2 linked regions of the Arabidopsis thaliana genome follow. The protein of the gene in region 1 interacts with the protein of each later gene in a pairwise test. Each region holds a gene or a part of one and is shown in the gene's direction. Other genes may lie near its edges. The genes, in order: AT5G09995 and ABCG16.

Region 1 (4,009 bases):
TCCTCAGCTTTGACCTCATCTTCCTGATTCTCCTCATCCTCCTCTAAGGAATCAGGTTTCGCATCCTCTTCTTCCTCTTGATCTCCCTTAGCCTCCTCTTCTTCCCCATTCTCCTTCACCTCGTCGACGACTTCTTCCTCATGCTGTTGACTCTCCTCCTGCGTCGTCTTCGTCGTCTCCTCTATCACCTCATCGTTCTGAGTCTCCGCAACAGCAGCTTTGCGACCTGCTTTCGAAACACCCTTTCTCTTCGCTCCTTTCTTCATTGCCACAGTACTCTACCAACGAATTGAGCAACCCTACTGGTTTCGCCGGCGAAGATAGAGAAAGAGAGAGAAAGCTAGGGATTGATGGCGGTGGATCCGGAATTTCGAATTTTTTTTCCGGAGGAGACACAAATTTGGGGGTTTTGTTTTTTATTTTATTTTATCTTTTCTTTTTGTCCAAATGTGTTCTACTTATTGCGTGATTTCAACGAGCGCTCTTCATGAAAAGGAAATAGGGTTTTTGATTTTTTCCCCCAAATTATTTAGGCGCCGTTTGCGAAAATATTATTGTAAGGCCCAAAATTCATATATAGCTTTTGGCTAATTAATTATTTTTTGAATAATATGATAATTTAATATTTTTCATCATGTTTAATATTTTCATCATGTTTACAGATAATTTGCAAGCTATTTAGGGAAATTTGTTATATTAGAAGAAGTTTTTTTTTTTTTTTTTGCTTTGATAACATTTGTTATATTGTGGACACAAACTTTTTTGAAGATATTAAATTTATAAAATTGAATTAAGTATATCAAATAATAATTTGAAATTACATTTAATCTTTATAGTCTAAGAAATTCATACGGACAATATCCGTCCAGATGCGAAAAAGACAACTCAACAACAACAACTAAACCCATGGTGACGAAATAAAGCCCAACGTTATTTCCCATATCTTACGAATCCTTAATGGGCCTATATAGTATATTTGATACCAATTACAGACCCATGATGGGGATAAAAGCCTCAACTACTGAACAAAGATGATCGAAGCACATATACATTACTAGTCTGATTTTGTAAGTGGAATCCGATTTAAATATTTTGAATCAACGTATGTAAAATGATATCAATACATAAAAATACATCAAAACACATCAAATACTGAAATACATATTTTAATACTGAGATTTCAAAAGTTCAAGGCAGGCATGTGTAACTCATATAAGATCGGATTGTTTGTGAGTGTAAACAACACAATCTTCTAGTGGAAGTGCGATACACGTGAGGATGTAACCTTTTTGAATCTGCTCTTCCTCAAGAAAGGACCCTAGTGACTGATCCACTTTCCCTGACACCAACTTTCCACAACATGTCCCACAAGTCCCTGACCTACACGAGTATGGCAGTTCAAGTCCCGCGTTCTCCGCAGACTCAAGTATGCAACAATCTTCGTTTCCTTCTATCTCTTGCTCCTCACCTTCCGGACTAATCAGTTTCACTTTACGAGACTCTTTTGCAAACACCTTCCCAAAATTGCCTCTCGACGATGACAAGCCAAAATAAGTCGTGTTATTGAGCCTGGTCGTAAGTTGAGCTTGTGATGGTGATATTCGTGATATTACAGGGATTTTTATGATGTAAGAGGAGTAGAGTACTTGATCCATCAATTATGCTTTGGCTTTTGATGAAACTATAATGTAAGAAAAACGAATCAAACCAAATGTATATATGTAGTTATAGCTCAAACATCAGCCCAAACCCTTAAAATCATTCATGTGACACGTGCATAGGGAGGTGCTACGTGTAGTTTATAGGCTTGTAGCTCACAAACCTCCAAACCAATGTGGTGGTGTTCCGATTTTGCATATGACGCAAAGAAGGTCAAATTAACTCAAATGATAGTAATGGGGTTATTTTCAATAGTTAACGCATAAACAGAGGACTTTTCGTGAAATATTGTTGTTTCTAAACTTGACGCAAATTTTCTCGCTGACACAACTGAAATCCATTGTTATCGTCGACTCGAAGCTTAACAATGGTTTCTGACGAATAGAGCTAAAACCATTCACAATGTTATTCTCGCCTTCGAAATTGCAATCACCCCAATCTCTAATCTCTTGGAATCCGATTCTCCATAACGGATTCATCGATAAAAATCTCTCCTTTCGCCGACGGGTCACTCTCCGGCTAGCTTCACCGATTTCACGATTGACCAAGGGTTCAGACTCAATCGCATCTTCTACTCCCTCTGCATTGTACTCGAATCCTCAGGAGCCATCGATCTCTTCCCAATTAACATCGTCCGTGGGACAGCCTCCTCTCCAACTCTCTCAATGGACATTCACACAGAAGCACTTCGTCTTGCTCAATGTCGTCGCTTGCGTGGTAAGCCTCTCTTGGATTTAGGTTTTGATTCAAATTGCTCAATAAAGATCTGGACTTTATGTCACTTTGTAAACAATCATCATCATGGGTTCTGTTGCAGACAGCAATTTCAGCATCGTGGCTCTTCTTTGCTGCGATTCCTACTCTTCTGGTTCGTTCTCCAACATTTTGCTTTTACAGATTTCTTCAACCCTTTGATGGATTTTGAAGGTTGATTTGAGTTTTACTTTGGAATGTTGAGAAAGGCTTTCAAGAAAGCAGCTGAGTCTCTTGAAAAGCTTTTGGATGTAACTAGAGAAGAGCTACCAGATACAATGGCTGCTGTTCGTTTATCGGGAATGGAGATCAGTGACTTAACTATGGAGCTCAGTGATTTAGGGTTTGTCTCACATCCCACCATGATGATTACCAATTTCTTCATATCTGTTTTGTAACTCTTTCAGTGTTTGTGTAGCCAAGGTATCACTCAAGGTGTTAAAAGCTCGACACGGGCTATTCGTGTAGCTGAAGATAGACTAAGACGGTTAACAAACATGAATCCAGGTCTGACCTTTCACTTCTGAACTCTTCTATTCGAACTATGGACTTTCATGGTTAACTCCATTTTTACCTCATCAGTAGCTTCAATGCAGGAGGTGATGCGTCAAACCAAGACAGATGAAACAGAACCAATGTTGGCTAAACAAGCGAGGAGCTTTAGAGAAGGTGTTGTTAAGGGACGCTCTTTATGGCAATTGTTCTCCACAATCACTCGTTTCTCTAAAATCACTACAAGTTATCTTGCAAAGCGTGCTAAGCAGTAGAAGCCTAGAAGGTGATCAATCAGATGCCACTTTTCTCTTTACCCTTTTTCAGAGTCCGCTTGAGTCTTTCTAGCTTAAGAGTGTAATTTGATTGATTTGAAATTATGATATTAATATCAATATATCATGATGATTCATGAGATGCAAAGAAAGTATGTTGTAGAGTAACTACCAAACAAGATTATCCAATTCTACATCAAGATTCTAGTTACATGTCGTAGTCGTTAACTCCACCTCGTTTTCCCGAGCTAACTGGTTGTTTCCTTATCCCTTTCCTCATTACGTTGAGACTCCTAGTTGAAGTTTCGATAGATGAAGGTTCTTCTTTCTCTTCCTGCAACACACAAAAAAAAAAAGATAATAGTAGCTTAGCAGAAAGAAAGTATCCTTGAGTTTACAGAGGAGAGACAGAATGATCAGTTTTTACATTTCTTGCTCTAGCTTTCACCATGTCTGAAGAAGAAGAAGAAGAACGTCTGAATCTCAGACACTTGAAGAAAGCCTTGACAGTTTGAGGCATGAGCTTGCAACAATCTCTTTTGTGATCTCTCTCTTGCTGCATCTTCGCTATCTTCTAAGTTCCTCTATATGTGACTTTCTCCTCAAATTTTCTTTGTCACCAAAAGATCAATCATATGCTTAAACTGTGATTATAAAGCGGTGAATTATAACCAACTCTTTTTAAAAACATTGCACCATCTTTTAGAGTGGCCGTCTCTTTCTTTGTTAAAAGCTGAGGCTATAAGAAAACCAACAATTCCATAAGTTATGTCCTAAAATTCGAATTTTTTTTGTTCGACTAAGATTGGCATCATGACATTTAAGTTTTC
Region 2 (5,235 bases), on another chromosome or scaffold:
CTACTATCTTATGATCATCTTCGCGTCCTTCTGGTCAGGATGCTCGTTTGTTACATTTGTCTCCGGTGTGATTCCAAACGTGATGATGAGTTACATGGTCACCTTTGGCTATCTCTCATACTGCCTCCTCTTCAGCGGATTCTACGTCAACCGTGATCGAATCCATCTTTATTGGATATGGATTCATTACATTTCTCTGCTAAAGTATCCCTACGAAGCTGTTCTGCACAACGAATTCGATGATCCCTCCCGTTGTTTCGTGAGAGGAAACCAAGTGTTTGATAATACAATAATGGAAGGAGTATCTGAAACGACAAAGGCTAAGCTTCTGGAGACAATGAGCGGTTACTTGGGGATGGAGTTAACGGAATCAACGTGTTTGACGACGGGCTCTGATTTGCTTAAGCAGCATGGAATTGAGCAGCTGGATAAATGGGGTTGCTTGTGGGTAACGTTAGCTTGGGGATTCTTCTTTAGGATCTTGTTTTATTTTTCGTTGTTGCTTGGAAGCAAGAATAAGAGGGCGTGAACGCCATAATGTAAATTTTTCCGAAACAGAAATTTTATTGTGAAAGCAAAATTGTCTTTTTGAATTTGAGATATTGATGATATATGTTGTATAATTATTATTTTTTTCTTTCATAGCTATCATATATTGTCTAAAGAAAGAATCGTACATCTAACATTTTACATGATGTTAGGTTCACAATTTTATAAAGGACTAAGATTTTAGTTTAATTCACAATTGGTAATGTTTTTAACTTAACAATATGAACTACATCAATAGTTTAAAGTTCAAACTAATATAAAGATACCACAAGCTACCAGTGAAGTAATTTAGTAGTTTTAATGTGCGTGTGAGCTATATGCCATCTTTCGTGGTCGGTGTAAACATAACGTATTTGACAAAATTCAAATTGCATCACTTTTTAAAAACAAAAGTATATACAACTAAACAGTTGGTCGAAAATAGAATTCAAAGTAGCCAACTTTCTTATAAGCTTTATTAGATGGTATTATAAATCTTTGACCCTTTTCTTATGGCGGTAAGGAAGACTACAGTAGGTAGAAGTTAGTCACCTAAACTTCAAAATGTCAACCAAAAAGATGTAACAGTGAAGTCAAAGTTTAGGATTGGAAATCCAAGAAGCTAAGCCAGTACGTCAATTTTGCTTTCATGTTACCATTGTGTCCATCACTAGAAGTTTGACCAAGTACTACTTAAGAGGAAGTTGCCTAACCTTTTGATCTGTTTCTTCTTTCCCTGGATGGATCAAAGACATCACTATTTTTACTTTCTTAACAAATAGTATTTGAAATGTGACACCATCTTTATGATTCTCGTGTAATTTTCGCATGCATGTTTAATTTTAGCAACAAACTTGACGATTTTTATTATATTTCTCTTAAACCACCACTCCACCCTTTACAAAACAAAAAGAATGTTTTATCAGCTTCTGTATACTGTGAATAAAACAGAGGAAACAAAGACCAAACACAATATTTGAGTTTGGTAAAGAATGTTCCACCGTTACCAACTAAATAATCAAGAAATAGAAAAAATGAACTTGGAGATTGTGTGTAGTCTTTCATAGCAAAAACAGGAGTTTATATTCCCAAACTAAATACAAATCTAGCTACTTTATCAAATATAACTTTTATATTATATTTGGTAGAATTAGTTGGGGTTCCGGAATTATTGCAATTTGCAACTTTTAGGCAGTTAGCAGCATAAGCAATCGTCTTCGGTCGCGAAAACAAAAGAAAATGTGAATAGTTTATCTAGGTACACATTTGCTTGCGATACAAACAATCACTATATCGCTACCAACATTCGAAGAATCTTTTAAAAACATTAATTAATTGACCAAACACTATGTGAAACGCAAGAAATATCTCATCTCAATCCTATATACTATCTATACCTCGGTTAGATCAACACCCTTCACCTAATTCTCCATTCTAATCGCCACGTGTCAGCCATTTCTACGTATTTTAGTATTATCACCTTGGAAAATCTAGATTTATTGGTCATCCCATTACCTCTCCCTAATTGAATACGAGAAATCCAAAACGCATTTTCCATCCAAACGCTAAGAATATTATTGTTAACAACACAAACCTAACAGATTTCTCATGATGATGCAACTCATTCAACACATAGAACCTTCGTGTTCACACGCTTCCACACGTTACTTCATATATATAAGGCCTATACACAGATACTAGCAAAACAGAGAACAAAGACTAACATTTTGATCATGCAAAGAGTGTTTTGATTTTCAAGTGTAAGCACATCATTTCTCACTTTACCATCTTTTGTTCTAAATGTCTCGCATACTAGTAGAAGATGATAATGCAACACCGTTTCATTCCATGGAGATTATTAGCTCATCTTTGACTTTAGGCCAACTTCTCAAGAACGTTAGCGACGTTCGTAAGGTTGAAGTTGGTGACGAAACTCCTGTTCATGAATTCTTTGACAGGGATGGTTCTTCACTTGACGGAGATAATGATCATCTTATGCGTCCTGTTCCTTTCGTTCTATCTTTCAACAACCTTACTTACAACGTCTCTGTTCGCCGGAAACTTGACTTTCACGACCTGGTTCCATGGAGGAGGACATCTTTCTCCAAGACCAAGACTCTTCTAGACAATATCTCCGGTGAGACTCGTGACGGAGAGATTCTTGCCGTTCTTGGAGCTAGCGGGTCAGGTAAATCCACTTTGATCGACGCTTTAGCGAATCGGATCGCTAAAGGAAGCTTGAAGGGCACGGTAACGCTTAACGGAGAAGCTCTTCAATCTCGGATGCTGAAAGTTATCTCAGCTTATGTAATGCAAGACGATCTTCTCTTCCCGATGCTTACTGTGGAAGAAACCTTAATGTTTGCAGCTGAGTTTCGATTACCAAGAAGCTTACCTAAATCCAAGAAGAAGCTTCGAGTTCAAGCCCTAATCGACCAGTTAGGGATAAGAAACGCTGCTAAAACAATCATTGGAGACGAAGGACACCGTGGAATCTCCGGTGGAGAAAGAAGGCGAGTTTCGATCGGAATCGATATCATCCACGACCCGATTGTTCTCTTCCTCGACGAACCTACTTCTGGTTTAGATTCCACAAGTGCTTTCATGGTGGTTAAAGTATTGAAGAGAATCGCAGAGAGTGGCAGTATCATTATAATGTCAATACATCAGCCAAGTCACAGAGTTCTCAGTTTACTTGATCGTCTTATCTTCTTGTCACGTGGACACACCGTCTTTAGTGGTTCTCCGGCGAGTCTACCGAGCTTTTTCGCCGGGTTCGGTAATCCGATACCGGAAAACGAGAATCAAACGGAGTTTGCACTCGATCTAATCAGAGAACTCGAAGGATCAGCTGGAGGAACAAGAGGATTAGTTGAATTCAACAAGAAATGGCAAGAGATGAAGAAACAGAGCAATCCTCAAACCCTAACTCCGCCGGCTTCTCCAAACCCAAATTTAACCTTGAAAGAAGCGATTTCCGCCAGCATAAGCAGAGGAAAACTAGTCTCCGGTGGCGGCGGTGGTTCCTCCGTCATAAACCACGGTGGCGGAACCTTAGCCGTCCCTGCATTCGCGAATCCGTTCTGGATCGAAATCAAAACTCTCACCAGACGCTCAATCCTCAACTCCCGACGACAACCGGAGCTACTCGGAATGCGATTAGCCACCGTAATCGTCACCGGATTCATCTTAGCCACCGTATTCTGGCGATTGGATAATTCACCAAAAGGAGTTCAAGAGCGGTTAGGGTTCTTCGCATTCGCAATGTCAACAATGTTCTACACTTGCGCCGATGCTCTTCCCGTGTTCCTCCAGGAACGTTACATCTTCATGAGAGAAACAGCTTACAACGCTTACCGGAGATCCTCCTACGTTCTCTCTCACGCCATTGTTACCTTCCCTTCGCTCATCTTCCTCTCTTTAGCTTTCGCAGTGACGACGTTTTGGGCTGTTGGGCTTGAAGGAGGCCTAATGGGCTTTTTATTCTACTGCTTAATCATCTTAGCCTCTTTCTGGTCCGGAAGCTCCTTCGTGACTTTCTTATCCGGCGTCGTTCCACATGTGATGTTAGGCTACACGATCGTTGTTGCTATTTTAGCTTACTTCTTGCTTTTCAGTGGCTTCTTCATCAACAGAGATCGAATCCCTCAGTATTGGATTTGGTTTCATTATCTTTCTCTGGTTAAGTATCCATACGAGGCGGTTCTTCAGAACGAGTTCTCGGATCCTACAGAATGTTTTGTGAGAGGTGTTCAGCTTTTCGACAACTCGCCTTTGGGAGAATTGACGTATGGGATGAAGCTGAGGCTTTTGGATTCTGTGAGCCGGTCGATAGGTATGAGGATATCGAGCTCTACGTGTTTAACGACGGGTGCTGATGTTCTGAAGCAGCAAGGAGTGACACAGCTTAGTAAATGGAACTGCTTGCTTATCACGGTAGGTTTCGGATTCCTATTTAGGATTTTGTTTTACTTGTGTTTGTTGCTTGGGAGCAAAAACAAGAGGAGGTGAAACTGAAACTACTGATGATACCTAAAACCAAAAACATATATTGTAATTCTTTTTCATTACTTGTAATTCGTAGATTGATTGTGTATTTGAATTGTATTCTTTTTAACATTTGTATTACTTTTGCCATCAATAAAAAAAATATCATTCTTTAGGAAATTGGAAATACAAAAAGCACCTATGAATCGCTTTTACTCAGAAAATTAATGCAACATTTCAAATAGAGGCATTGAGATTGTGGAAGAAAAATGAGGAGACACAGACACTGTTGCTAGAGGCAAGTAACTCTCAAAGCCATTTCACTTTGTAAGGTATCAAAAAGTCAAAATTGGAAGGCTATCTACAAAATCAATTAAAAACAAACCGATTTATCTGAAATTTAAAACCGAAACAAACCGGACCGAATCAGCATCAGAATATCGTCTGGTCCTGGCCGCTCTGCTCTAGCCGCAGTCGAAACACGAGTCCATAATACGAGCGGTGGTTGCTCACGCGCCATCCAGTTTGGCTGGAGATGCTATTCTGCATTTCGACAGTGAAGCTTTTCGGGTTTCAACAAAGGCGCAATGTTAGCTCTTTAGCCAAGCGTTTCAGTCTCGCCGGGAAACTAACGTTAGAGCTCCAAACTCAGGTTTGATTTGTGAAAGATTGAGACTTTCGTGAAATTTGTGAAATCAATGTGATGGACTGTTCACAGCT

What was found.
Region 2: the proteins of AT5G09995 (region 1) and ABCG16 interact in a protein complementation assay, tested with the Arabidopsis thaliana proteins (one large-scale study listed by BioGRID).

Annotation. Positions count from the first base shown.
Region 1 is NC_003076.8:3,124,355-3,128,363, reverse strand, and holds AT5G09995 (uncharacterized protein), read left to right. Parts: upstream 1-1,985; 5' UTR 1,986-2,061; coding exon 2,062-2,376; intron 2,377-2,476; coding exon 2,477-2,527; intron 2,528-2,621; coding exon 2,622-2,755; intron 2,756-2,830; coding exon 2,831-2,919; intron 2,920-2,994; coding exon 2,995-3,179; 3' UTR 3,180-3,287; downstream 3,288-4,009. Other genes in the region: AT5G10010 (myosin-H heavy protein), read right to left, coding at 1-266; FD4 (ferredoxin 4), read right to left, coding at 1,209-1,655; PROPEP5 (elicitor peptide 5 precursor), read right to left, coding at 3,388-3,513, 3,607-3,741.
Region 2 is NC_003074.8:20,415,646-20,420,880, reverse strand, and holds ABCG16 (ABC-2 type transporter family protein), read left to right. Parts: upstream 1-1,970; 5' UTR 1,971-2,328; coding exon 2,329-4,539; 3' UTR 4,540-4,698; downstream 4,699-5,235. Other genes in the region: ABCG17 (ABC-2 type transporter family protein), read left to right, coding at 1-529; AT3G55080 (SET domain-containing protein), read left to right, coding at 5,051-5,167.